Canis lupus familiaris: one gene and its partners. The protein of the gene in region 3 purifies or fractionates together with the protein of the main gene of each other region. This does not show direct contact. Links are inferred from orthologs where the notes say so. Each region holds a gene or a part of one and is shown on either strand. Other genes may lie near its edges. The genes, in order: CTTN, PTPRE, GRB2, ALK, SYNJ1, HSP90AB1 and ELMO2.

Region 1 (3,500 bases), on a different chromosome or scaffold from region 3:
ACACCAGCAACAAAACCAGTGAGCAGGCCGTGGATTCTTTGAGAAAGTACTTTTATCACCCAGTTTTTTTTTTTTTTTTTTTTTTTTTTTTTAACTTTTATTTATTTATGATAGTCACAGAGAGAGAGAGAGGCGCAGAGACAGAGGCAGAGGGAGAAGCAGGCTCCATGCACCGGGAGCCCGATGCGGGACTCGATCCCGGGTCTCCAGGATCGCGCCCTGGGCCAAAGGCAGGCGCCAAACCGCTGCGCCACCCAGGGATCCCTTATCACCCAGTTAAAAACAAAACACACAGGCCAAAACTCTTTCAGGTACACTGTAAGATCACACTAATACAGAGCGCTCCAGAGTGTTATTGTGTGTGTAGCAACAAAAACACGAAGAATAGCAAGTGCAGCAGATTTTCACAACTGTACTATCTTTCCTTCATTCCAAAAGAGATCACAAAACAAGCATGTTATAAAGCTTTTGGGAGGGGCATCTGGGTGACTCAGTGGTTAACTGTCTGCCTTCCGCTCAGGGGGTGATCCCAGGGTCCTGAGATCGAGTCTCACATCAGGCTTCCCACAGGAAGCCTGCTTCTCCCTCTGCCTGTCTCTCATAAATAAATACATCAAATCTTTAAAAAATAATAAAATAAAAATAAATAAAGCTTCTGGGACTGAGAGGAGCCACCAGAGCCATAGAGGCAAGCTTTTAAAAGGTCACACTATGGGCACTTGTGTGGCTCAGTCGGTTAAGTGTCTGCCCTTGGCTCAAGTCATAATCTCAGGGTCCTAGGATCGAGCCCCACATCAGGGCTCCCTACTCAGCAGAGTCTGCTTCTCCCTCTCCCACTGCCTCTGCCCCTGCTTGTGCTCTCTCTTGCTATGTCCTTAAATAAAGCTTTAAAAAATATAAATAAATACATAAAAGGTCACTCTGCTTCATAAACAAAAGCCGCAGAGGTGTGCTGGGAGTACCCTCAAAGAAAGAGGACAGATGTGGAGCATCTTCCAGAAACCATCACTTCCACCCAGAGCTAAGTCACCGACATATCTCCATACTAAAGCATGGCTCTACCAGGGCCACATTCCCAGAGCAGACCACAAAGATCAAACCCTTTGGGGGAAGGCCCAAGGCTGCAGAGAAACCCTGTCTGCCCCATGCCCTTTGGCTTCTGCTCTCTGACTTCTCAGAAACGGTTTTCATTCCTCCTCAATGGCATGTCCAGGAGAAAATCTGAATAGCAGTGTGCAGGATCTAAGTGCAGGCCCGGATGAGCACCGTGCGTACCATACTGGGCAGAGGAGCACAAGTTTGCTCCAAGTAGAAGAGGCAGAGTCTAAAGAGACCCTGTGGGGCACACTGTGTGCCAGGACTGTGGCCTCAGGGTGGGTGGGCAGGCCAGGTATGACAGGAAGTGACACCCACAGCCAAGTCAGCTGCCCCAAAGGCCTCACTGCCACTTCCCAGGCAACTGACACGCCCATGGTGTTTCCAATGGGCATTTTCATTTTTGTCTTTTATTTATGTATTTTTAAAGATTTACTTATTTATTCACGACAGACAGAGAGACAGAGACATAGGCAGATGAAGAAGCAGGCTCCCTGCAGGGAGCCCACTGTGGGACTTGATCCCGGGACCCAAGGATCATGACCTAAGCCGAAGACAGACACTCAACCACTGAGCCACCCAGGCATCCCTATATTTGTCTTTTAAAGAAATCTGGGTTTTTAAACAAGATGTGAATTCTGTTTTTATATGTTGGCAACTATTTTTAAAAATGTAAACGCACAAGGGCGCTTGGTTGGCTCAGTCAGCGGATCTCAGGGTTGTAAGCTCAAGCCCCATGTTGGGTGTAGAGGTATTTAAAAAAAAAAATATTTAAACGTGAAGCCCATATGAAACAAATAATGCAGAAGAACCAACAATCCAGGGCCACTGCAAGAGGGGACCACATCTATAAACCCTTCATGGAGACATCCCTCGCCAGGCAGGGTTTCCAATGATGGAGGGAAAAATCAGCACAGCTGGTGAGGACAATCTGCAGTAGCCACCAAAATTTCAAACTCAACGTCCTTTGACCTAACAGTTCTACTTCTGGAAATTTACTCTTCTAAAAAATCATTTTTTAAAAATCTATGAGACTCAGGGAACAAGAATATTCACTGTAGTTGATTTTTAGCTTCAAAGATTGCAAATAACCAAAATTTCACATTCCAAAGAGGAATGGTTAAATGTTGACAGCCTCCTTGCAAGATGGGGACAGAAAAGGCAGATGTATGCTGACCTGAACAGAACAAGAGCCCTCTGACAATTTCAGTTAAAAAGACTGCAGAAGGGACGCTTGGGTGGATTAATAGCCCAGGTCATGATCCTGGGGTCCTGGGATCGACTCCTCCATTGGGCTCCCAGTGAGGAGCCTGCTTCTTCTCCCTCTGCCCGTGTCTCTGCCTCTCTCTCTCATGAATAAATAAATAAAATGTTAAAAAAACAAAACAAAACAAAAACAGCAGAAATGCCACACAAGCCAGCTGGCATGGGGAGAGAAATCCCTGGTGTGGACCTGTGAGTGCGCAGCAGGGAGGAGGCAGGCCCCACACAGGGAGAAGTGGTGCTCCCAGTGGCCTGACCTTTCTGTGACTCGTGCTTTTCCGTCTTGCCCTGGTAGTCGAAGCCCACGGCACTCTTGTCCACCCGGTCAGCCTGCACGCCATACTTGCCACCGAACCCACTTGAGTAGTCTGAGGAGACAGGGCGGCAGTCAGTAAAGAAGCTCGATGACAGGCTCAACTGTCACCTCGGTTCTTCGACTGAGCAAGACAAAAACATTTTGGAGTCAGGACACAGCAAGAGATCAAGCGCACAGTTTAAAAGTCCCCCCATGGTCATGCAGGAGTGAACCCAGACTCCATTCAGAGCGCAATCCCTTGCAACCCCAAGAGGGGAGCCTCTCACAATGGCACAAGAAGCTGTGGTCCCACTGCAGAAATTAACTGTCCAAATAAAGCAAGTTGTGCAGCTCAAACCCCTTGCCGAAGGGACTAGAGAGGTCCATGCCAGGCCAGATGGACAGAGCGCCCACCCCCAGGGCATCCGATGATACGCAAGACACAGGCGTAAACCAGCTCACAAAAAGTACACCAAGCACTTTGAAAAAATAACATGCTTCCATTTAAAAAAAAAAAAAAAAGAAAGAAAGAAAGAAAGAAAAAAAAAGGCTTTAAAAGACTGTCACGACTTGAAGGTTAGCCAGCACCATGTGAGGACCACACGCACAGTAAAGCAACAGTGATCTCAGGCTCTGGTTTCCAAGGCTGGGGGGAAAGTGAGCTTGTTGCCAGCCGAACCCGAGAGTGGACTCTCCTGGTACAACGATGCTCAGAGGAAGAAAAGGCAGCCTCTGCCACAGCCTGGGGAGCCCCATAGTGATATGGTCCTCCCCAGGAAACCGCCTCTGATGACAGTGTTCTCTCTGGCCCGGCGCAGCGGGGCAGGGCTGCCCTCCTGTCTGCAGC
Region 2 (3,500 bases), on a different chromosome or scaffold from region 3:
CTGATGGCTGCAAAGCCCCACGGCTCGTCTCCCAGCTGCACTTCACCAGCTGGCCTGACTTCGGCGTGCCTTTCACCCCCATCGGGATGCTGAAGTTCCTGAAGAAGGTGAAGGCTCTCAACCCGGCCCACGCCGGACCCATAGTGGTCCACTGCAGGTACGTCCAGGTGGGACCACAGGGCAGCCCCCCACACACACCTGGAGGACTTGGCTGTCATGGGAAGATGACCGGTGGGCCGGGATCAGGGTGGGCAGGAGGGCAGGCAGGGCCGGGGTGAAAGCAGCCCCCTGCCCAGGGTGAGTGCAAGTTACTACTGACACCTCAGAGGATCCCTCGAGGTGAGAGCTGGAGGGACATTCAGCCCACCCGTGAGAGCAGCACTGTTTCTTCCACGGCATCTGAGGGGAACCCCAGTACCTAGAACAGATAAAAGCCAAGAGGCCTGGTAAATAGAGCTAGCAGGGCTCCCGACAGTTTCACTTGGCCTGCCTCCACCTCCCCCGGAGACCTCCAAGTCACCTCTGCAGGTAGAGATGGAAATCACACTTCTCTGGGGAGCCCCCAGTCTTTATACAAGAGTGCACGGGGCTCAGAGGGCCCACGGGGGCTCAGAGGGGCCACGGGGGCTCAGAGGGGCGGGGAGCCATGGCCCAGGCACAGCTAATAGCAGCCAGGAGCAGCCGTCCAGGGCAGGGCGTCCTGAAGACCTGCTCTGAGGTCCTGGCTGCCGCTTCTCCTCCCAGATGCATCCTCCTCCACCCTCCATTCTCCAGTCCTGGAGGGGCTGGGGACTCACCCCAGGGGTGAGCTTTGCATGAAACTAAATACTACACCAGCCTCAGCTGTCAGCACTGTGATTATTGCTTAGGTTGTGGGAAAGCAGCCTCCAAAGTGATCACTTTGTCCCGACCGGGTGCCCTCTGCCTTTGCACACCTTGGTGTCTCCTGGTTGTTTTCACACTGAGCTTTCATTTCCTCTGAAACTCTGGGAGCCACAGAGGCAGGGTATGAATTAACCCCCTCTGTGGGCTTATGTTACTCCAGGCCCAGGTTGGCTCCCAGTGCAGCAGGTCGTGTCTGAGAAAAGGCCTTGGACTTCGAATTGGTTAACTGGTTTATGCACATTCTGTGTTTGGAGATAAAAGCACAAAGATGGGGAACACTCTGCTGCCAGACTCTCCATCCCCCCCGGGGGTGCTCCGTTAGAACCCTAAGACACTGGGAGGGTGAAAGGGGAGGCCCCTGGCTCCCGGCCAGGGCTGGGGTCCTGGCCCTGGTCCTTGGGAGCTAAGGGACATTGCAGCAGCTGTGCGTGAAGTGAGGTGGCATCTGTAGGGTGACAGTTGCCAGCCCTGCAAGCTGCTCCCAGAGCTGTACTGGAGAGGGGAGCCTTGTGGGCCAGTCCTGCTTGGCCCCAGCCGGGGCGTCTTGTCCGTCGCTCCTGTTCTTGCCCAGACTTCTTGGAAGCCAGAGTCTCCATGTTCCTTCTACCCAAAGGCCTGCATGGCAGGTTCAGAGCATCCTTATCACTGTGTGCAGATGCCTTTTGTCCCTTGTCCCTTTTGTCCTTTGGCAGTGCCAGGGTACTCCCAACTAACCTGTCTGCAACGGCCAAAACCAAGTGAGACCCTGGTGAGCTGGGCCTTCCCTCCATGCAGCAGGGGCACGCCTGGATGGAAGGGCCCGAGTCCCCCCACGGGGACTTCCGTGGACCCATCAGAGATGTGGGGCCCCCTCTGGCAGACACCCTGGGGACTTTGGTGGCCTGTCTTCAGGACCCAGAGTCCGATGCCCCCAGCTGGAGAAGCTGTGGCCGGAAGGGCTCCAGGTTGAGTTCCCGTTGGCTCTGCAAGACCACTGCAGCTGCCGCCTCTCCCTGACGCAGGCTTCTCGAGGTGGCCGCCGGCCCAGCCCCGGGATGGGGATGCGGGACCTACAGAAACGGCCTCTGTGTTGGGTCTTGGGTGGCCACAGGGAGGGGGCTTGGTCCTGCTTTGCTGTGATCCCGCCAGACCCGTGGTGCATGTGAAACCGTAGTGAGTGACACTGTCCTCGCCCCGCTCGCTCCGTCCCGCCCACGGGTGCCCAGCACAGGTGCTCTGGCCATTTATCTCGTTTCCATGCTGGGCCCCCTCCGTGGCCCGGAGTGCCTGCCTTCGCCGGTGAGCACGTGCTCGTCTCCCTGTGGGCAGGTTTCCCTTCGGTGCTGCCACTGCGGCTCCTGGGCTCTCGGGCCTTCTTTTATGTTCTGTTTTGCCACCGGGTGTTTAATCCACGGGAAGTGGAAGGGGCGGCCCGCTCCAGCCCCCTCCTTCCTGGCGAATCCTTCCCTTCCTGAGCCGGGGCCTCCCCACCCCGGTGCCTCCCCACCCTGTCGGTTGGTCGAGTGGGCAGATGGGCGGTCCTTGGCGCCCGCCCACGACGGTCACGGTCACGCGGTGGCAGGAATTGCTGCCCAGAGCGCAGCCTGCCGGAAGCCAGCAGGGTGGGGGAGAGGCTCCCGCTGGGTGGCAGCCCTCGGCCTCCACGTCCCACCTCCAGGGCCACGCTCATCCTCACAGAGGGGCTCTCAGCTCCAGGCCATGTAAGGCCCCCGGGGCTTTGGCTTCCTAGTGTCCTTGCTGACACACTCATCCTCAACGCTAGATTCTTAATCACTTAAAAGGAACCGACATCCTCTGCCCGGATCCCCCAAGATCGGCATCCCCGTGGAGGCCGGCTGCGAGGACCACCTGGCCTCAGCCTTTTCCTGGGGGACCAGCGCGGTGTCTCTCCCGCGTGCACCCCGGGCCAGCCGAGGGGGCCTGTGAGCAGCTCAGGGACCCTGACGGCCTTCCAGCCTTCCAGCCGGTGGTTTTGTGGCCTTCCTCACGCATCGGGTGGGGCTCACCTGGCTCTGCACCCGCTGGTTTCTCTGACTTTGTATCTGTGAAGAGCTAAGACCCCCGCGAAGGGCCTCTCGTGTGTTTTACCTGCTTTCCCCTTTGAGATGAGGGGTCTGCCCCGGGGGACGGTCTTCACCACTGTCCTAGCCCCATTTTGGAGCCTAACCCGAAAGAGGGGTAGCTCCCACCCCCCCACCAAAAAAAGGAGGGAAGTAGGGGGACTCAGCTCATTAAGTTGTGAGCCTTTTTTGTTAAGGAGATGATTTTCCTTTTTGCAAGAGGCTAACGCTGCAGGGGCTGGAGGGGGCAGCCCCGTTCGGTGTGCAGTTCTGGTGCAAGATGCTGCACACACGAGTGTGCGTCCCTAGCGGGTCCCTCGTTCAGCAGATGTTGGCTGAGCACCACCGCGTGCCCGCGTTGTCCTGGGTGCCGGGAACAGGTGCGCGGCCCACCGTCTGGGGGAGATCCGGCAGGTGGCGGAGGGCAGGACAGAGGCCCGGGAGGTGCTGTGGGGCGCGCACTGGGAGGGCGGGAAATCCAAACCCGGGAAGCCACTCGGGCAGCTTCCTAGCGAAGAGGCCACTGAGCAGAGGCCCTAGGGGCCAGCTGGCTTC
Region 3 (3,493 bases):
ATAAAGGTACTATTTTGAATGATGGGTGCAGAAGCCCCAGAAAAAATCCTTTGAGAGGGTACCTGCCTATCTGAGGAGCTATTCTTAATTGCTAAAACTGATCCCAATCTTATGAGGCTTACCTGTGGCACCTGTTCTATGTCCCGGAGGAATATCTGCTGGTTTCTGGAGACAGATGTAGATCTGTGATAATCGACCAGCTCGTTCAGAGAATTGAATTTCACCACCCAGAGGAAATACTTCCCGGCTCCATCTCGGAGCACCTTGAAGTGCTGCACATCATTTCCAAACCTGGAGGGGCAGAGAACACCCACGAGAACAGGTCAGAGGGCTCCGTCCTGGCTATCTGGGGGCCAGGTGCTCCTCACATCAAGGAGGCATCTTCTGAGAACTAGAGTTCTGGCAACACTTCTCACGGCCTGAGGGGCCCAGACTGCAGCACAACACGATCCCCTGGCTGCAAAGTCAGGACAGTCAGGACGCTGAGTGCCCTTGAGATCCCGCCAGGGGACTGATGATGACCAGTGACGACGGGAAGAATCCTTGCCATATAGGAAAACCTTGTCCATCAGGTTAATTCTGAAGATGTTCGTAAGATAAAAAAAGAATATCCTAACCTATGGGCATGACTCCAAGTGCCCTGCGCTGTACCAAATCAAACAGCCCTATTCAAGGAAAAGTGTGACTTCATTAACTTTTCAAGCAAAAAAAGCATTAAAACTTTACAGGACATTTAAAGATGACAACAGGTGGGGTAGGAAAGTGAGAGAGGAGGGACTGGACATACTTTCAACAACTCTCCTGTAATTGGGAAGTGTAGATTATGTTTTCCATTTAGGAATCTTAGTTCTACTCACAGGTGAAAGGTCTCAGAACAGAATGCAGTAGGAAAATAAATATAAGAGGCCGAGGCACTGGGTGCCCAAAGATGTTTCTCGATCACCTGGTAACATGCTTCCTCTTATATTGCCCTGCAGAAGCAGGCGTACAACTGGGTGCTGACCAGCCCCTGGGGAACAGTGTTATGTGGCTGCTATACCAGCCCAGTGAGGCTTTGCCTGTCCTGCTCACTGCTGTGTCCACAGGACAGACACCAGGGCTCAGCCCTCAAACAGTACTCTAGGAAGATCTATAAATGAAGGACACAGTCTTTCCTCTCCTTCAGTCTTAAAGGGAAAAGGAAATTAAAAACAACCCAGCAGGTGGCAGCGCTGGGCTTCAAGTAGGAGATCCCAGGCATCCAGGACCGGTATATAGCTTTTCCTGAGAATCTGCGTGTGGTGAGGAAGGAGGGCACATTCCCCAGAAGCTTATGCCCTCTGGTGCAATGCAAATGGTTTGGTTCTTATAAGGTGTACTGGGTCCCAGACAGTGACCTGTTAACGACCACCACGCTGTTTTTCAACACTGACTCCCATCTTGAAATGAGAGAAACCTTCTAAAGACTGTAGAGATTCTTGAACCTCCTTTGAGAAAGTGTTTGTGTTGTTAAAGACAGTAATGACATCTGTTTCAAATTTTATTTCTGGAACAATAATTGCACGGATTCTTTAAAGTTTTTATTTGATAAAATGGAATGGTTTGGGAGCTTGCCAGCAGCTACTGTATGAGCATGTGCAGTGATGAGTGATAATCAAGGCCTCCACTGCACACTACCTGCCAAGGTGGCTTTGGCCACTACTCAATTAACCTGTGAGTTAACTACTTGTACTCCTCATACTGTATAGAGTATAGAGTATATACTGTATAGAGTACTGTATAGACAGTACTCTATACTGTCCTCTACTCAGGTCAGTATAAAATGTAAGGATAACAGATGACAAAAGACAAATTAGCAAGAAGCATTAAGATAGTAATTCCACCTCAAGATACTCCTTCACTAGATCCTCACTCACATGTGTTTATAATTGAGTGCATCAGAAGGCCGCTGTTGCTGTGCGTGCTGGGAAGGGGGGTTGCTGGGGATAACCACTGTACCTGCCACACAGTTTTGCTGTGAACCTGCAACTACTGTAAAAAAATGAAGTCTATTAAAAAAAAAAAAGAAGTCATTGTTAAAAGAGGAAAACTCTGAAAATAATTAGATCCAGTTTGACTTTTTCATGCTGGGACTAAAAAACTCACTTATACAGGACATGTATCTGTGTGGTGTTGTGAATATGGCCTGAAGCCACCTCCCACACCTTCAGAGGGGAAAAAACCCCACAAAAACAAAAATTAAGTTTAAATCTACATTTCAAAAACACTATACTAAAAAAAACAAAACAAAAAACAAACAAAAAAACAAACCGAAAAACAAAAACACTATACTGGTCCTAAAATGAAACAAGATATTCAGTTAATTTTGGACACTGAAAAACCTTTACATTGTGTGTAAATGGCAAACTCTCTTATGGTCTTCATTGAAAAATAACGTAATCTATAGTAGCAGTGATCTAAGACCCAACCCCTGCAAGTTTTTATTTAAATTCTAGTTAGTTAACATATAATCTTAGTTTTATAGGGGAGGAATTTAGTGATTCATAACTTATATATAACACCCAGTAATCTGAGTTTTTAACCTAATCATGCTGTCATAGGAGTGATTTGTAAGATTTTCAGGGGAGGGGTTCCTCTGATAATATATTAACTAGAAAGGCCTTGACAATTTGATTAAAAATACTTATTTCAGAGATGGGAAGTAATTTGCATGAAATCCTCAAAACTCCAACTTATGTTCTCAATGATTCCTAGGGTGGTAAAGCTCCCAGTCTTTCCTATTCCTTGCTTACCAGCTCCCTTTCACATTTAAATTTACCACTGGGGAAAGCAAAACACCCTCAAACCCTTGTGATAACCTTTAAAAGTTGAAGTAAGAGGCCTAGGATGGTGTTGGTGGATTTATGCCAGACATCTGTACAAGAGAGCCAGCTGCAAGGGTGAGCAGTCACGCCACCAGAGTGAGATCCCACAGAGGGCAAACGAGCAAAGAGCTGTGTGCAAGGCAAAGGGCACAGCAGAGAGTGGGGATTAGGGAAAACATGCTGCTACTCACCAACTGAAGGCTGTTTCCACACAGGAATCTAAACTCAGTACTGGCAGAACTAATTTTTGAGGAGTCAGGAATTACTATTTTAATGTAAACTATGCTGCTTTATAAAATACAGTTTAGGCTAACCCTCTACCAGTTGGCAATCTTTGGTGTGTGTAGCCAGACACCTGGCCTGTGGCTTCACGTTTCAGATGAGGAGGGAGAGGACTCCAGGGACCAGAACGGGAAGCACTTACTTGACAGAGAGGGAGAAGTCCCCGGGGGCACTCTCACTCTCTCGGATGAGAAAGGCCCCGTCATGCCGCTGTTTGCTAAGCATTTCTTCTGCCTTGGCTCTGGGGATTTTGCCAAAAAACCACCTAAGGAAGGAAGACAAGCCAGTCAACATCTGCTTCCCCACAAAGAGACGGGATATCCAGCCTCCGAAATGTGAGTAACAGAACACTCCTTGCCAAAGGAAGG
Region 4 (3,500 bases), on a different chromosome or scaffold from region 3:
TGTTAGAATCACTAAGTGTGATGGAAATGTTCAGATCCCAGAGGAGGAGATGGAGATCCAGGAAGGCTTCCTGGAGGAGGTAGCCCATGCTGGGCTTCAAGGGCCAGGCTGCCTGGCCCAGGCCACGTTGTAGCTAACCTTCATCTGCCTGTAGTGTACCGCCGGAAACACCAGGAGCTGCAGGCCATGCAGATGGAGCTCCAGAGCCCCGAGTATAAGCTGAGCAAGCTCCGTACCTCGACCATCATGACTGACTACAACCCCAACTACTGCTTTGCTGGCAAGACCTCGTCCATCAGTGACCTGAAGGAGGTGCCTCGGAAAAACATCACCCTCATCCGGTGAGTGCCCCCCTGCCACTGTACTCCGGGGTGGTGCGGGTGTGGGAGGAGTTCAGGCTGGATGGTCATCCCCACACCATGGATTTTTCCAGCCGCAGGAGGCCAGCACAACCACCCCTCAGGGCAGTTCCAGCCCTCCCAGGTTTAATGCTTAGGGCCATTTGGAGAGGTATTTAACTGTTTAACACCCCATATATTCACGGGGTTTGCACAATGAATGGAGAGCAAGACAGGGAACCAGAACATTCCTTGAAGTCCCCTGAAGCGCCCCCTCTCAAGTCTTCTCGGCCCCTCATTCTCCAGGTGGAGCAAAGTGTCCTCCTCTGAGCTTCCAGGGCACCCCATGCCTTCCTCCATCATTTACTGAGCACACTCTACAGGAATGTCTGCCAAGGATCTGTCCCTCCCCAAGAAGTGGGAGCCTCTCCCCGGGCAGGGCCCTGTCCTCTTCACCCCTATGACCCTGACGGATATCAAAAACCTAGTTCGTCTTCATTGAACAATAAGGCAGGGGAGGCCTGGCACTGTATGGCAAAGCCAGGTGGAGGGTGTTACTCCTCAGTTTGCAGGAAACCCCCTGCCTCTTGTGTGCCTTTCTCCTGGCCCCCACCCCGCCCCCTCTGCCTGACCTTGCCTTTTCCTTTGCACAGGGGACTGGGCCACGGTGCGTTTGGGGAGGTGTATGAGGGTCAGGTGTCTGGAGTGCCCAGCGACCCGAGCCCCCTGCAAGTGGCCGTAAAGGTAAGAGGCGGCTCCATCATGGCCCTGATCTTGGCCGGCAGTCTCTATGGCCTCAGCTCTTGGACCACACACCCTCTTACCCCTGCGGCTCACAGCCTCCTCCTCCTTTCCACCCTCCCCTTCTGTACCCAGACGCTGCCTGAGGTGTGTTCTGAACAGGACGAACTGGATTTCCTCATGGAAGCCCTGATAATCAGGTAAATAAAGCCACAGAGAGACGCCCCCTGTTAGATGTTTCTGTCTCCAGAGGAAATGGTGTTGTCCTCCAGCGTCCCCTTCCTCCCCACCAGGAGGGTCCCTAAGATTTTAACACATCTTACCAGAGTGAAATAGCCCCAGGTGGTCGTCTGAGAAGAAAAATCTCTGTGGCCTAATAACCAGAGGGATATCCCTCTGCCTTCCACTAGCACCCCTGTGTCACCCAGTGGGATGTTCCCCAACCCCCCCCCCTTTTCTGAATAGAGCATGCTAATTGTTGCCAGTGGAAGACACACTTACGCCCCAGGTAACTTTTCGACAAAGCCCCTCCCCAGTTCCAGCTCTTAGATCTTGTGTAAAGACCCGCGGGCCTAACTGATGAATTCTTGAACACTACCTCTGAAACTAATGATGTGCTGTATATTGGCTGATTGAATTTAAGTAAAATAATTTAATTTAAAAAACAAAAAAAGAAGTGTGCCCCTAGATGTGATGGAGACCACCGCATCCTGTTCCCCACCAGCTGGCTTACACCCTTCAACGTGTGACTCTGGCGTCCCCTAACTAGGAATCTCAGTGCCCAGGGCTTGGGAGGGCATGTGCTCCGGCCGCAGACCACCTTAAGGAGGACACAGGTGCTTGACCTTGAGATCTCGCCACACTCATAGCCTCCTGTTATGCTGGAGAGCCTCAAACATCCAGACACATGCGAGTGGCCTCGGGTCCCTCCCCCCCACCCCTGCGTGGAAGTGGACAGTATGTGAGGTGCCTGTGTTGTCCACAGAAGGATGCACAGCAGGGTCAGGGCCTTGCTTTAAGGGTAACCTATTGTCTGATTACACATGTAATACATGATTATTGAACAACACTTGGGAAGTGTAAGATGATATGGAAGGAGACCCAAATCACCCAGTCTCACTCTTGCTGATAACCCGCCACTACTCTATTTCAGCATAGAGCCATGTAGACCTTCGGCTCTGCGTGTGTGTGTCCAGACGGAGTTCACCCGCCCCCCTGCCCCACACGTCCTAACAGGATCACATTAGCAAGAAAACCCAAATCGTAGGGCCTCTCGGCCAGACTTACTCCGTCCCCATGAGCACCCATGGGGGAGGCACGCACAGGCCTCTTCCTCACTCTCTTTCACACACGGTCTCCTGGCAGGGTTCACTCGGTCCCCAGAGGAAGCAGTTCCTTCAGCTCCTCTGCCTGACGCGTCCTCGAAGAACTCACACATGAATCCTAGCAAGCAGTCCACGCACCACTGTCCCCACTGTCCCAGACCCTGGCCGCTCTCTCGTCCCGCCCGCCCTCTGACCCCACCTCCTTACTAAGTACCTGTGCAGCAGCCTCCTGCCTCCAACCAAACACTCTCATGCAGACTGGACTCCTGCCCGGCCTGCCCTCTGGTTCTCGCACCTGCTCAGGAGTGAGATCCCCCCCGGCCTAGGCTGGGCATGGGACCCGGCTACCCACATGACGGAAGGCATTTACATAATGCAGCTGCTGAAAACATAACTTTGCATCCTGCTCTTCCTCTTTAAGATTTTCCCAGACTCAGCTCAGTTAAATTTGGTTACTCCCCTCTGCTCTGCAGCAAATTCAACCACCAGAACATCGTGCGCTGTATCGGGGTGAGTCTGCAAGCCCTGCCTCGATTTATCCTCCTGGAGCTCATGGCAGGAGGAGACCTCAAGTCCTTCCTCCGGGAGACCCGCCCTCGCCCGGTGAGTGAGAACCAGTCTTGCCCTAGTGGTTGGAGCCAGGGAATGGAGCAGAGGGCGGGAGGGGCAAGAGTGGGCAGCCTGAGAAGCAACCTACTCAGTGGGACCGAGGGAGTCAGCCCTGGGGCTTGTATCTGGGGGAATGGCCAGGAGAGATTGCACAGAAGGTAGACGAGGGCTGAGCCCACCCTGGGGAGCTTGAGCAGGGCTTGTGCAATGGGGCCTCCAGCCTGAATCCCTTTTTGTGACCTGCTGATTCCGAGAATTAGGGACAAGCACAGAGGAGGACTTTCATGCCAGCCATGCCATTAATTCAACTGACTTGGGGACAGGACATTCTACATCTACTCATTCTGGACCCCACTAACCTCATTTCTTAAGTGGGGACATCCTGACCTTGTACCTTTACTGTCAAAATAAAATACTATAATATTTATGAAGGTTCTGCATGTGTGTCATGATTAAGGGGCTGGAGCTTGGGGGAGTGAAGAAACCT
Region 5 (3,500 bases), on a different chromosome or scaffold from region 3:
GACCAATTTATCACCAAAGGAAATATATTGTTATGCAGAAAAACTTACTGGCTGGCTTTTCAGAGAACCAGGAGTCTCATAAAAGTGAATTTTCTATAATACTGAAGCTTGGTTCTCAAGTTTTAAAACTCCCCTGTTTTAGGTAGAAATTTTTCTTAAGTACTCTGCACTATCTCGCTGTCTTAGTCTCATTAATACACAGCACTACTGCTAGACCAGCAGCTGCCCAGCCCTCCTCCTCAGGGTATAGGTGATGGTAGAGATAAGACAGCTGGTGGGCATGTGCAGTTCTGATAAACCATCTACGTAAGTGAATGGTGAGATTACTATTAGACTAACACTCAATCCAATGGCCATTAAGTATTTTCAAAATATGACATAAGCCTCCATACTCTACTATTGCCTATACTGATCTGAGGTGAAGTTCAAATGACTGTGATCCAGTATGTCCAGATACCATAGAGAGTCCCATGTCATGGCAGAGGTATAAGCAATATACCTGTCTCCATTTAAATACAAGTGGGATCCTATGTATTTGTTCAGGTAGTTTCTCTCTCTACCATCAGTTTTCATTTCTCTTTGCTGTCAATGAATTGCTGTCTTAATTCTATTTAAATTCATAAACAACTCTCAACTGGCCGCAGCTTCAAATCTCCAAAGGAATAAATGAGTGGAGTTTTTGTGATAGGTGTTTGTGACTCTGGAAACAAAACTTACTTGGCTGTATCCTGGAAAATATTTCTACTAAGCTACAAGAGTATGCATAATACATTCATAAAGCTTTCATTTTTCTATGCAAGGTGAAGCTCAAGAATGCCAATCCTTGGAAAAATTGTAGAAAGCGTAAAATTACCAAAACTCATTTTTGGTGTTTTAGTCTCCCTTTTGTTCAACCTGTCTCCTATTCAATAAACCCCTTCAGTCTGTTAGGTAAACTGTTGCCACCTCCACCCTTAAGTAAATGAAATAAATAAATAAATTACTCCTACTGGTTAAACTTAGCAAATGTGCTTAACTGCTGATCATTGGAGCCAATGCATCCACACCTGCTTAAACTTCTAATTATTGGCAAGAAAATTTTTATCTCTTAATCTAAGATATTTGGGGTTAGAATGACCAGAGTGGGGAGAAAAAAGTCAGGGCAGCTGCCCTGCCCATCTGCGCCACCTTAACTTTTCAGGGATTTCCATGTCTCTTCCATCAGAAAAAGTGTGGGGCTGACCTCTAGGCCCACTTAATTGCCCTATTAACCATTCCTTCCCAGCCCTTCATTGTCTCCTCCTTTGTGAGGTTCCAAGTCTCTAGGATGCTGGAGTCTTTTTTTCATTCTGCCTCGTTTCTCCTCTGTATTACTATGCTGGGCCAAAAAAAACTTGCACATTAGCTAAAAAGCTTCCTCTAAAGTTTGTTTCTTATCCTAAGGTTTTGTTGACTTTGAGCCCTCTGACACCCAAGACAGATAGGTCAGACTAAACGGGCCACTCAAGGACTATAGGTAGATGGTGCAAGTGGGAGGAAAAGAAAATATCCAGAACACCTTGAATCTGACCTACTGAGGGAGACCCAAGGGCAGAGAGTCCTGGACTGCGGTCTTAGAACGTGCAAACATAATGAAATATAATTGCTACATGATGTTAGGGGAAAATGCCCACAGCAATGCTGACTGTGGACAAGAGAAGCAATATCCTAGAAAACTGGTCAGCTCCAATAAAGCAGCACTAATTATAGTTACATGTGCTTACCTTTGTGCATACTATAGTACAGTTTATGCATAATCATGAAATATCCATTACCTACTTAAGTCTTACTTTATTATAGTACTAACCTTTATCCTAGCATATCACTTCTTCACAGTCCATTGCTCTTAAATCAAGATTATGCACCTATTACCTTTAAATTAAAAATGAGGGGATCCCTGGGTGGCGCAGCGGTTTGGCGCCTGCCTTTGGCCCAGGGCACGATCGTGGAGACCCGGGATCGAATCCCACATCAGACTCCCGGTGCATGGAGCCAGCTTCTCCCTCTGCCTGTGTCTCTGCCTCTCTCTCTCTCTCTCTCTCTCTGTGACTATCATAAATAAATAAAAAATTAAAAAAAAAAATGAGGCAATGCTGTCTTAGAAAAACAGTACTAAAAAAAAAAAGAAAAAGAAAAAAGAAAAACAGTACTGCCAGAAACAAGATCTCAAAACTATGAACAGTAAATATGAGTATCACAACTTGATTACAACTAATTCATTCTTAATTTTAAAATAAATATCTTAAATATATTTCAGAAACGAAAGGTCAGTTTAGATTGGGCAGAGCAAATGGGTTGCATGTCACATGGGAACTTCAATAAGCTGACACTGGCTGCCTGCTATGCTCTGCTGAGGATTCTGGAGCAGGAGACAGTGGGGTGCTCAATCAGCAATGCCCATCCTTGCTATCTTTGGAAATAACTGATGAACACACTATGCACCAAATCACCAAACTATTGCACAGCAAGCACATGATTACCAAGGGAAAAAACGTTAACACAAACTCACCAGAAAAATCTATTATCAGTTGTGTGTTCTTGCATGCTACGATGTGCATTAAGACTTAGATCTAAACTGATTCCAGATGCAGACCATGCAAAATAAAAGTTTCCTGAATTCAAAACTTTTCGCACTTCTGAAATGCGATCCTCTTCTGAAGAATCAATTCGTAGTGATATGAATTCAGTAGAAGTAACTCGGAAAACTTCAGATTCTTGAATTTTTCCAACAGACATACATCCAGTGACTAAAACCAGATAATGTAACATGGTATCACCTGCAAAAACCAAAGAATTCATCGGATGAAAAGTCCCTGAATTCCCAATATTTTTCAAGTTATTCAAAATTTCCTCCAACTTTCTTGTCATGTTTCCAACTTTTAAAATCTGACAGCATGCTTATTTTAAACTGACATGGACATGTTTACATTTACAACTGGATTTTTGCAAAAGTTGAAAAAAATCCTTGATTAAACACATTTAGATCCATGAACCATTTAAACATTAACAGAATAATCTCACATTGATGAAATTATTCCTTTGATTAATCTGATATTAAAAAATTTATCAAGTAAAAAAATAATCTATATGTTATCTTCCCCATCTTTCCTTTATGTTTGTCAGGAAATCCACATAAGACAATAAATGTGGGAGCTCTTTGTAAATAGCACAGTTCAAAGAAATGGAAAAAATATAAATGTGAGCTGCTGTTGTCGACATATGAACAGAAAGCCCTTGATAACAATTTATAAAGCAATTTGGTTTACAAAAACTTTCATAGATATTTTCACTAATTTTGGCAAAAATCCCATGAAATTAGCATGAAGGCGAAATTCAGTGGTGGTGTACTTTGACAGGCAGAAGTGGCCCTGAATCTTGGCTCTGCCACTTATTATCTAGACCAACTTTAGTGTGCTAACAGAACCAACCTGAGATACACTCCCTCACAAACCAGGATTAAAATAAACCTCACTGGACTGTGA
Region 6 (4,238 bases), on a different chromosome or scaffold from region 3:
TCACATCAGAAGCATTACTGATCAACTCTCGAAGAAAAATTTCCTTGTTAGAATAGAAGGTATTGATGATGAGGGACATGAGCTGGGCAATTTCTGCCTGGAAGGCAAAAGTCTCCACCTCCTCCTCTCCATGGTGCACTTCCTCAGGCATCTAAAATAAGAACAGTCAAGAATTACAAAAGAACACCGTGGCCCCATAGGTAACACTCCGTTTCACCCTACTCACAACGAAGACTCAGCTTTTAGTTGAAATTGCTTTGGGCTGGATAGTAGACATATTCCTGAAAAACTAGAAAACTTTTCCCTCAATGATTTCAGCCTATACCCTTAGTGGAAATCCAATTCAGGAAGAATTTTTAAAAGCTTCTCTAACACAACACACGACGTCAAAAGCGTTTTGGAAAAACACCTTGGAGCCTAAGTACTCTAAGTGGTCCATGGGACCCAACAGACTCCGCATCACCGAGTACCTCGTTGAAAATGCAGATCGGATCCAGGAACACGAAAAGGACTCCAGATAATTTTCAAGAGAAAAGCACTGAATACGGCTCTATTTCTTTTGGTAGGACAAACGGTAGCCCGAGGCGACCAATTTCGGGTTAAAAGGAATTCGCAATTGGCTCTCCCGCTGGGGGTCTCCCACATCAAGCACCCTGGAGCGCAGGGGCCGACTACCCCCGGGGCCGGTGGATACCCGCCCAAGCGGCTGAGACAAAGAACCGCTAAGGCAGAAGCTCCATCGCGACCCCAGCACACGTGACTACAGCGTGGGACCAAACCAAACATAACCAAGATGGTGGCCGTCGTCCGCTGGGCAGACCCTCGTCACTGCCGGACGTGCGTCGGCCAGGGCCACGCGAGGAGGGGGCGCCACCGCGCAGCCTCCCTTCGCCCCAGCATCCGGGCACCAGGGCGGGGCGCCGGGTTCCAGAAGCTTCCAGAACAATCTCAGCTCTTCGGAGAGGCGGGGGAGGAAAGGGCCCATGAATCTTCCCGAGCTTGCCCCCTCCACTCCCCTCCCCCACACCGACACTGCAGGAAAGATCTGGAAGGAGAGGAAGCACTATGGGCCAGAGACCGCCGTCAAACGTTGCTCGCCGAAGGTCACAGAAAAAAAAAAAAACGAAAACCCTTGCAAAACGCGTCCCAGGGGACAGATGGCACAGGCGGCACGGGCAGGCCAGCCCCGGGCCGTGCTGAGTCACGTCCAGCGCGCACACCCACAACGCGCGGGGACCCTCCGGCGCCCCGTAGCCGCGTCCGGAAGTGGAGGGGCAAACATGGCAGCGTCCCGGCCGGCGCGGACACCACGTGCAGCTGCCCACCACCCCCAGCCCGCGCCGCGGCCCACCTCCCCCAGCGCCAGGCGCCGCCCGCGGGGACGCCCGCCACCAGGCACGGGTGAGAAAGCAAGTCTAGCTCGCGGTCCCCCTCCCGGCCACCCCCGAAAGCAGTTAGGAGTCGTCCCATCCCACAGGCCGCTCCCACTCCACGAAACCCAGGCTTTAGAAAGGAAACGAGGAACGAGAGCAACTCAAGAGAGCACTCCAGGCAGGAAAACCTGGAAATAGCTACGACTTTACCTTAAAGGGGAAGAGCTGCAAGCACTACAGACCACGGCGGGCAGGGGCTGCGTCCGGCTACGACGCCGAACCAAGGCTGCGCGGGGGTGACTCAAGAGAGCGGCTGTGCGCCCCCGGCCGCTCTATATACGGCGGAGCACAGACCAGCTGCCGGCCCCCGGATCCCTCCGCCTTAAAGGAGGGTGCAGCTCAGCCCCGCACCTGCCGCTGCCCGCCCACCTTGACGTCATGGCCCAAAATGGGGCGGGCGGGGGGGGGGGGGCCGCCGGTCTCGGTCTCCGCCTTCAGAGTACGCAAGTACATCTCTGCTTTTGCAAGGCATGAGCTCCCTCCGAGAACTAAAGACTGGGAACGTCTTATTTCATATGAAATAAGTGGGGGATCTAGGGGTGCGGGTGCCACTGGCCTTCCTATAAACCATGAGGCAGGCGCCTCCCCACTCGAGTCCTGGCCTGGAGGAACACCTATAAAGGTGGAGGGCGGGGATAGAAGCGGCCAACCGCTCCGACCTCGGCTCCCGGGTTCGACTCTTGCTACAATCTGCCCTCCAGACCCCCACAACCCGAGAAGGGGAAGCAGTTTTCCTTAGGGACGGTGCGGAATCCGGGGTCTAACCTCAGGGAGGCCTTGCGCCCCGGCCCTCCCAGGGGCAGTGGGCGAAAGCCGCGGCTGTGCGGCGGGGTGTGGCTCCGGCTGGGGGAAGGGCCCTGGCCGGCACCGGCAGGGGGACTCTTTGCCCGCGTCCGGCGGAAGGAGCGGCAATGGTGGTACTGCGATTACTTCCAGCAGTTTCCAGACCCGCCTTGGCGGCCCCGCCCCCGCCCCGCCCCCTCCGTGCAGGCGCCGCCCCGCCCTCTGCGGCCTGGGCCGGGTGTCCGCAGCCGCCGCGGTCCCCGGGGAGGAGGCGGGCTGTTCCCCTATTAACCTGGGAGCCCGCGGGGGGGACCCTCATCTCCCACCTGCCGGTTCGGCGAGCCCAGCGCTCCCTCGGGAGTGGGATGGAGCATAAAGGGAAAGATTGACCCCCCCACCCCCGCCATCGATCCCACGGCCTGGGGCTGTTGGGGCGGTGGTGCTGGCGCCGCCTTCGGGGCGCAGAGACCCGGGGACGCATTCGCCATCGCGGGGGGCGGGGAGGAGGACCCTCCCCTACTTGTGCATCCGCCCAAGTGAGTGGGACCCGGAGACCTGCGTCTTCCCTGCGTGAGCACACGGAGCTGTTTCCCCATCTGGTTTCAGTTTGGGCCCTCTTCGCTCCTGCGGCCGGCAGACGGGAGGAGGAGCGGGCCCCCTTGCAGGCTGCCAGAAGTCGTTCCCCTCCAGCTGCGGCGCGGGCGCTCCCGAGCCGTTAGTCGGCCGGGAGAGCTGTGGGACGCCGTGGCTCAGCCCCTTTCGCGCGCCTTCCAGAGGGGAAGCCGTCCTTGTCTACCTAAGGCCTCCCCTAGGAATGCCGTCGGACCCACGGCCCCTCCGGAAGAGAATGGCCTCTTGCTGCTCTGTGACCTTGTAGGGGTCCATCCACTTCTCCCTGGCCCACAGGGTCGTTCCCTGGAATCCTGGGGAGGGGCTGCCTCCGGCACCACCGCCCGCCGTCCTTCCTCAGCCTTCTTCCTTCCTTTGTATTTCCTTATTCATATGTTAAATTCCGAAGAACAGACCTTCCAATTCCTTATCTTTTCCCCAAGCACCAGACCTCATCACCCAGCCACAGCCACCACTCCTATATTTCTCCTTACTCTTTTATTCAACCCCACACACACACCTGTTTTAAAGATTTTTATTTACTCATGAAGACACAGAGAGGCAGAGACAGGCAGAGGGAGAAGCAGCTCCATGCAGGGAGCCAGACGTGGGACTCGATCCAGGGTCCCCAGGATCATGCCCTGGGCCAAAGGCGGCGCTAAAACCACTGAGCCACCCGGGCTGCCCCCTATTCTCCTTAATGGTGTGTGAGAAATCTGTGACTTGGGGAAGTTAATGTGTTTGGGAAGAGCTGTGGGTGCTGTTGCCAGGAATCCTCCAGGATTCTCTGTTCCTGATCAAGATCTCAAACGAAGTGTGTCATCCCTCAACATACCCTCTCTCTTTCTGGGCAGAAGGGGCCTAGAAAATTAAAAACCTCCCTAGTTCACAAAGAGCATTCAAACTATTTCACAATACTGTGAAGAGGTAAAAGTGAGTCTCCCGTTCTCACTGGGAAAGCAAGGCTTCAGTGAGATCAGTCAGCTCAGAGCCTCTGTTGCACCAACCCTCGCTCCTTGCTCCAGGAATGGAGTAGCAATGCTGTCTCCCTTCCCAGGACCCAAGTCCAAAGCAGCAGAAATCACTCCTGTGGATCAGTATTAAGACCAGAGACTCCCGGGGTCTTCTAATGGGAAGATCTCAAATCACGCACTAGCACAGAAATTCTGTCTTTTCTGGAAGGCTCTCCCACTCGCTGACACTCACTTAAGCCCCCCACAGTGAGTTCCTGGGATGCAGAATTGCAGAAACAAGATGGAGGTTTCAGCCCCTAGAGGGCTGCAGCAGGCCAAGTGTGAACCATAGCAACAGGAGAAATATCAGACTCCCAGCTCAGCCTGAGGCAGGGGACAGGCTTAGGGCCAAGGCTGGCCAGTCCCTGGCACAGGTATATGTCCCAGAAGAGGGAGAAGC
Region 7 (3,500 bases), on a different chromosome or scaffold from region 3:
CAAAATAAAGGTTCAGGCATGAAAAAGCTGAGTGTAGAAAGCAGAGGATCTTACTGAAACTGGGGTCTCCTTTTTTTTTTTCCTGGGGTCTCCTTTTATCTCGACATACCCTTCTCCTGTCACATGTTCTGTCCCTGCATGCACACAGGACAGCAGAGGCTTGACAGGAAAACCTCAAAGTCTTGTGATCTAGTAATTTCCCATTATTCTCAACCCCCATTATAATGTCCCCGACACATGGTCATTTCACTTTTGTCTGAATATTTCCAGCATCAGGAGGTACCCAGTGGGGGATCCCTGGGTGGCGCAGCGGTTTGGCGCCTGCCTTTGGCCCAGGGCGCGATCCTGGAGACCCGGGATCGAATCCCACATCGGGCTCCCGGTGCATGGAGCCTGCTTCTCCCTCTGCCTGTGTCTCTGCCTCTCTCTCTCTCTCTGTGTGTGTGACTATCATAAATAAATAAAAAATAAAATAAAATAAAATAAAAAAATAAAAAATAATAAAAAAAAAAGGAGGTACCCAGTGTCCCAAGCCAATGACAGCTCTGATTCTGTATCTGTGGATATATTACTCATTGAGTTTAGTCCAGTTTTTGGCATTGATGCCGCCTCTTCCTGTCGAAGAAAGGAGGGCAAAAGTAAAAGTGTCCCCTCCCACCCACCAAGTTTGATCTGACCATCCAAACAAGCTGCTTTGCAGGCTGCTTTGTCAACAGAAGGCAGACTTGTAAACCTAAGGTAAAAGGTGAACAAAATGAACATGTATAGCCAAAGAGAAGGGAGCTCTTGGGAAGTAGGTCAGAAGACTCAGGGCTGGTACTGATTGACTGGTTGGGATCATCTCAAGTCTCACTAATCATCCCATCCCGCTTTGGCCACAGTCAATTCTGAAAACCTGTTTCCATCTTCTCAGAGCAGGCCCTGACAGAACAGTGAAGGAACTCTTTCAGGATCCCAGGAAGACCAAGCATGAGGATGAAAAGTCAGGCCTTGGGGGATAGAAAGTTAACTCTCAGTAGGATGACTGTCTTGCTTGCATCTCTCCATAAACTGAGAGGACAACTGGCCACAGAGGGAGGAGAGGAAGATGGAATGCTGGAGGCCTCACCTGCTTAATGAAGGTGATTGAAACCATGTCCCAGGAGACAATGCCATGGTCCATGAGCTCTAGGAAGGCAGTCAAGGTGAATGCCAGCATCTCACTGTAGCTGAGACATAAGCAGAACACACACAAAATAATACAAAGATTCAAAACCGGGAACACAGGTGTGATGGCAGCCATAATGGAGATGGCTTTGAGCTTAAATGCCCCACAAGGGGTGGGTAGGCACAGCCATGAATAAGCACCTGTTTGCATCCCTCGCCAGGTGTGCAGCAGATTCTGTCCAGGTATACATCTCTGGGAAAAAAAGAGCTACCTGGGCACTGGCTCTCCTTCCCCATATCACCTCATCTAAACACAATCACTCATCCATTTCCCAAAACCAAAAAGGTATCAGACTTTTATCAACCCCAATACTTGGCAGGCGTATCCAAGGGAAATAACAGCCCACGTTCAAGGCCGAGAGGCAGCAGAGTATAGGACAAAGAGTACAAACCCCAGACCCGGGCTCCATTCCTGTTCAACCATTTACTAACTATGCAAATTTTATCTTTTCAAACTTCAAATTCCTCCTCTGTCAAACTGAGTTTATCTCACAGCATTAACATCACAGGGTTGTGGCGGCGGCAAGATGACAGTGTATGCAAAGCCCTGCTGCAGTGCTGATGGAGGATGGGGATTACCACGCCGTCTCTCCTGTGTCCCTTCTCTCTCTACATACAACCCTTTACACATCTGTACGGTGCTCTAGATTTAACAAACCTTATTCCCACTGGCAAGGCAGATTTGGACCCGTTAACAACACTCCTCATGGCGATACTCCAATATAAGCAGCATCTCCAGGTTAAAGAGGAGGAAACCAGGGCCAGTCTAATCCTGCACCCCTCAGAGATGGCAGAAGGCTGATGGCCACTGAAGGTTTCAGGAGGTCAGTGCAGCCGCAAAATCCAAGACTTAAACACCTGTGATTAGTTGCTTTGTTTGGCTGAAAATTTCAAAAGGTGGTCTATTGACTGAAGATTTCAGACTCCCCCTGTGCCAGCTGAGAGAGACAGAAAACCACCACTGGCCTAGACAGCTAACTAAACATCTGTTAATCATTCACAGCACAGTGTCCCGCTGCACTCATCTTAGCACTGGAGCACCACAGAGGTGTCCGCGGAGTATCGCAAAGTTCTGGAGCGATACTCCTGGGACCTCCTCCCTGTGAATATGGGTGGAAGGGAGATGGCGAACCCATGGTGAGCATGGAGGAAGCCCTGTGTGTGTGCGCGTGCATGTGCGTGTGCAGAAGTGGGAGGTGACTGGACAGGGACGAAGCAGGGGGACGATTAAGAATAGACAGATCTTTTCTGGTCAATAACATGGATAGTCCACTCACTAGCTTCCACCAGGCCAATCATTTTCCATAAATGTACAGATCTGTCACGACATGCCCTCTCTCTTCCTATACCCCCTCATTTCACTATGGCTTGGCATCTGTGAAGACCAACTAGACTACAAGATTCAGGACCACAAGAGAGAATTCCTCTTACAGACCCCAGTACTGGGCACACTGCTCTGTATATAGAAGGTGTTCAATAAATTCAGGTGACTCAGTGAATATGAGAAAAGGATCCCCTGCAGAATGAAGGAAGACTTCTGAAACTCCCCCAGTAAGAGCTCAGTAATACTCACTGGGACAAGAGCTTGGTTCCACTCTCCACAAGCCGTGTCAGCACGACGATGCCATCCATGTTGATGAACTCAGTGGCGAAGGTCACATCAGCAGAGAGCTTGGCCAGCTCTTTCATGGCATCCAGCCGGGTCTCCATGTTGGATGACTGGGTCCTCTCCATCAGCTGGCGTGCAGCCCGGGACTATGACACCAGGGACAAGATGTATGCCATCTGCTCCTTGTGGCAGGTTACTGCTCTGTGAGTAGCTCATAAAGGCTTTTCTGTGGACATCCAAGCCCGAGGCAGAACTACTTGTTCATGCTGTCTAGGAGTTGCTTAAAAAATGCTTGTTGGATCAATCATGGAATTACCATTGTGCCAAGACCAATCTGTAGTTACGTATATCCTTTCTGTAGTGCTCTGGTCTATGGATTACAGAAACTTCCCAGTGAAGGACTACAAAAGACCGGGAGACAATAGTCCACCACCTCCAGCAAGTCATAGAGAAAACAATACTGGCTCCACAGAGGGGAGTTTTCTATTAATTTAAGCCATTAGACAGTGGACCAGGTTGTCTCGACATAACGACCTCTCAGTCACTAAAAACAATCAAGGAGACTCAGGACAACTGGCTGTCAGAGATGCTTCACGAGGGATTCTTGCACTGGATGGAGAATTTAATCTGATGATCACCTTTAAAGTCCTTTTCAGGGACACCTGGGTGGCTCAATGGTTGAGCG

What was found.
Region 1: the proteins of GRB2 (region 3) and CTTN purify together in Homo sapiens (affinity purification with mass spectrometry; 3 studies listed by BioGRID and IntAct, with this or other methods). This does not show direct contact. The link is inferred for Canis lupus familiaris from reciprocal best matches to the Homo sapiens genes GRB2 and CTTN.
Region 2: the proteins of GRB2 (region 3) and PTPRE purify together in Homo sapiens (affinity purification with mass spectrometry; 5 studies listed by BioGRID and IntAct, with this or other methods). This does not show direct contact. The link is inferred for Canis lupus familiaris from reciprocal best matches to the Homo sapiens genes GRB2 and PTPRE.
Region 4: the proteins of GRB2 (region 3) and ALK purify together in Homo sapiens (affinity purification with western blotting; 3 studies listed by BioGRID and IntAct, with this or other methods). This does not show direct contact. The link is inferred for Canis lupus familiaris from reciprocal best matches to the Homo sapiens genes GRB2 and ALK.
Region 5: the proteins of GRB2 (region 3) and SYNJ1 purify together in Homo sapiens (co-immunoprecipitation; 3 studies listed by BioGRID and IntAct, counting the BioPlex papers as one, with this or other methods). This does not show direct contact. The link is inferred for Canis lupus familiaris from reciprocal best matches to the Homo sapiens genes GRB2 and SYNJ1.
Region 6: the proteins of GRB2 (region 3) and HSP90AB1 purify together in Homo sapiens (affinity purification with mass spectrometry; 3 studies listed by BioGRID and IntAct, with this or other methods). This does not show direct contact. The link is inferred for Canis lupus familiaris from reciprocal best matches to the Homo sapiens genes GRB2 and HSP90AB1.
Region 7: the proteins of GRB2 (region 3) and ELMO2 purify together in Homo sapiens (co-immunoprecipitation; 4 studies listed by BioGRID and IntAct, counting the BioPlex papers as one, with this or other methods). This does not show direct contact. The link is inferred for Canis lupus familiaris from reciprocal best matches to the Homo sapiens genes GRB2 and ELMO2.

What each region holds. Positions count from the first base shown.
Region 1 is NC_049239.1:48,400,505-48,404,004, forward strand, and holds part of CTTN (src substrate cortactin), read right to left. Parts: intron 2,727-3,500; coding exon 2,616-2,726; intron 1-2,615.
Region 2 is NC_049249.1:37,246,549-37,250,048, forward strand, and holds part of PTPRE (receptor-type tyrosine-protein phosphatase epsilon), read left to right. Parts: coding exon 1-157; intron 158-3,500. UniProt on the Homo sapiens protein: Isoform 1 plays a critical role in signaling transduction pathways and phosphoprotein network topology in red blood cells. May play a role in osteoclast formation and function.
Region 3 is NC_049230.1:6,054,590-6,058,082, reverse strand, and holds part of GRB2 (growth factor receptor-bound protein 2), read right to left. Parts: intron 3,461-3,493; exon of another isoform or gene 3,391-3,460; coding exon 3,268-3,390; exon of another isoform or gene 2,968-3,267; intron 292-2,967; coding exon 123-291; intron 1-122. UniProt on the Homo sapiens protein: Non-enzymatic adapter protein that plays a pivotal role in precisely regulated signaling cascades from cell surface receptors to cellular responses, including signaling transduction and gene expression.
Region 4 is NC_049238.1:23,065,570-23,069,069, reverse strand, and holds part of ALK (ALK tyrosine kinase receptor), read left to right. Parts: intron 1-154; coding exon 155-341; intron 342-991; coding exon 992-1,082; intron 1,083-1,214; coding exon 1,215-1,279; intron 1,280-2,877; coding exon 2,878-3,007; intron 3,008-3,500. UniProt on the Homo sapiens protein: Neuronal receptor tyrosine kinase that is essentially and transiently expressed in specific regions of the central and peripheral nervous systems and plays an important role in the genesis and differentiation of the nervous system.
Region 5 is NC_049252.1:27,955,641-27,959,140, forward strand, and holds part of SYNJ1 (synaptojanin-1), read right to left. Parts: intron 2,796-3,500; coding exon 2,528-2,795; intron 1-2,527. UniProt on the Homo sapiens protein: Phosphatase that acts on various phosphoinositides, including phosphatidylinositol 4-phosphate, phosphatidylinositol (4,5)-bisphosphate and phosphatidylinositol (3,4,5)-trisphosphate. Has a role in clathrin-mediated endocytosis.
Region 6 is NC_049233.1:12,845,010-12,849,247, reverse strand, and holds the start of HSP90AB1 (heat shock protein HSP 90-beta), read right to left. Parts: upstream 2,801-4,238; 5' UTR 2,783-2,800; exon of another isoform or gene 2,772-2,782; intron 1,743-2,771; exon of another isoform or gene 1,579-1,742; intron 797-1,578; exon of another isoform or gene 471-796; intron 152-470; coding exon 5-151; intron 1-4. UniProt on the Homo sapiens protein: Molecular chaperone that promotes the maturation, structural maintenance and proper regulation of specific target proteins involved for instance in cell cycle control and signal transduction. Undergoes a functional cycle linked to its ATPase activity.
Region 7 is NC_049245.1:34,241,192-34,244,691, forward strand, and holds part of ELMO2 (engulfment and cell motility protein 2), read right to left. Parts: intron 2,962-3,500; coding exon 2,780-2,961; intron 1,209-2,779; coding exon 1,109-1,208; intron 1-1,108. UniProt on the Homo sapiens protein: Involved in cytoskeletal rearrangements required for phagocytosis of apoptotic cells and cell motility. Acts in association with DOCK1 and CRK. Was initially proposed to be required in complex with DOCK1 to activate Rac Rho small GTPases.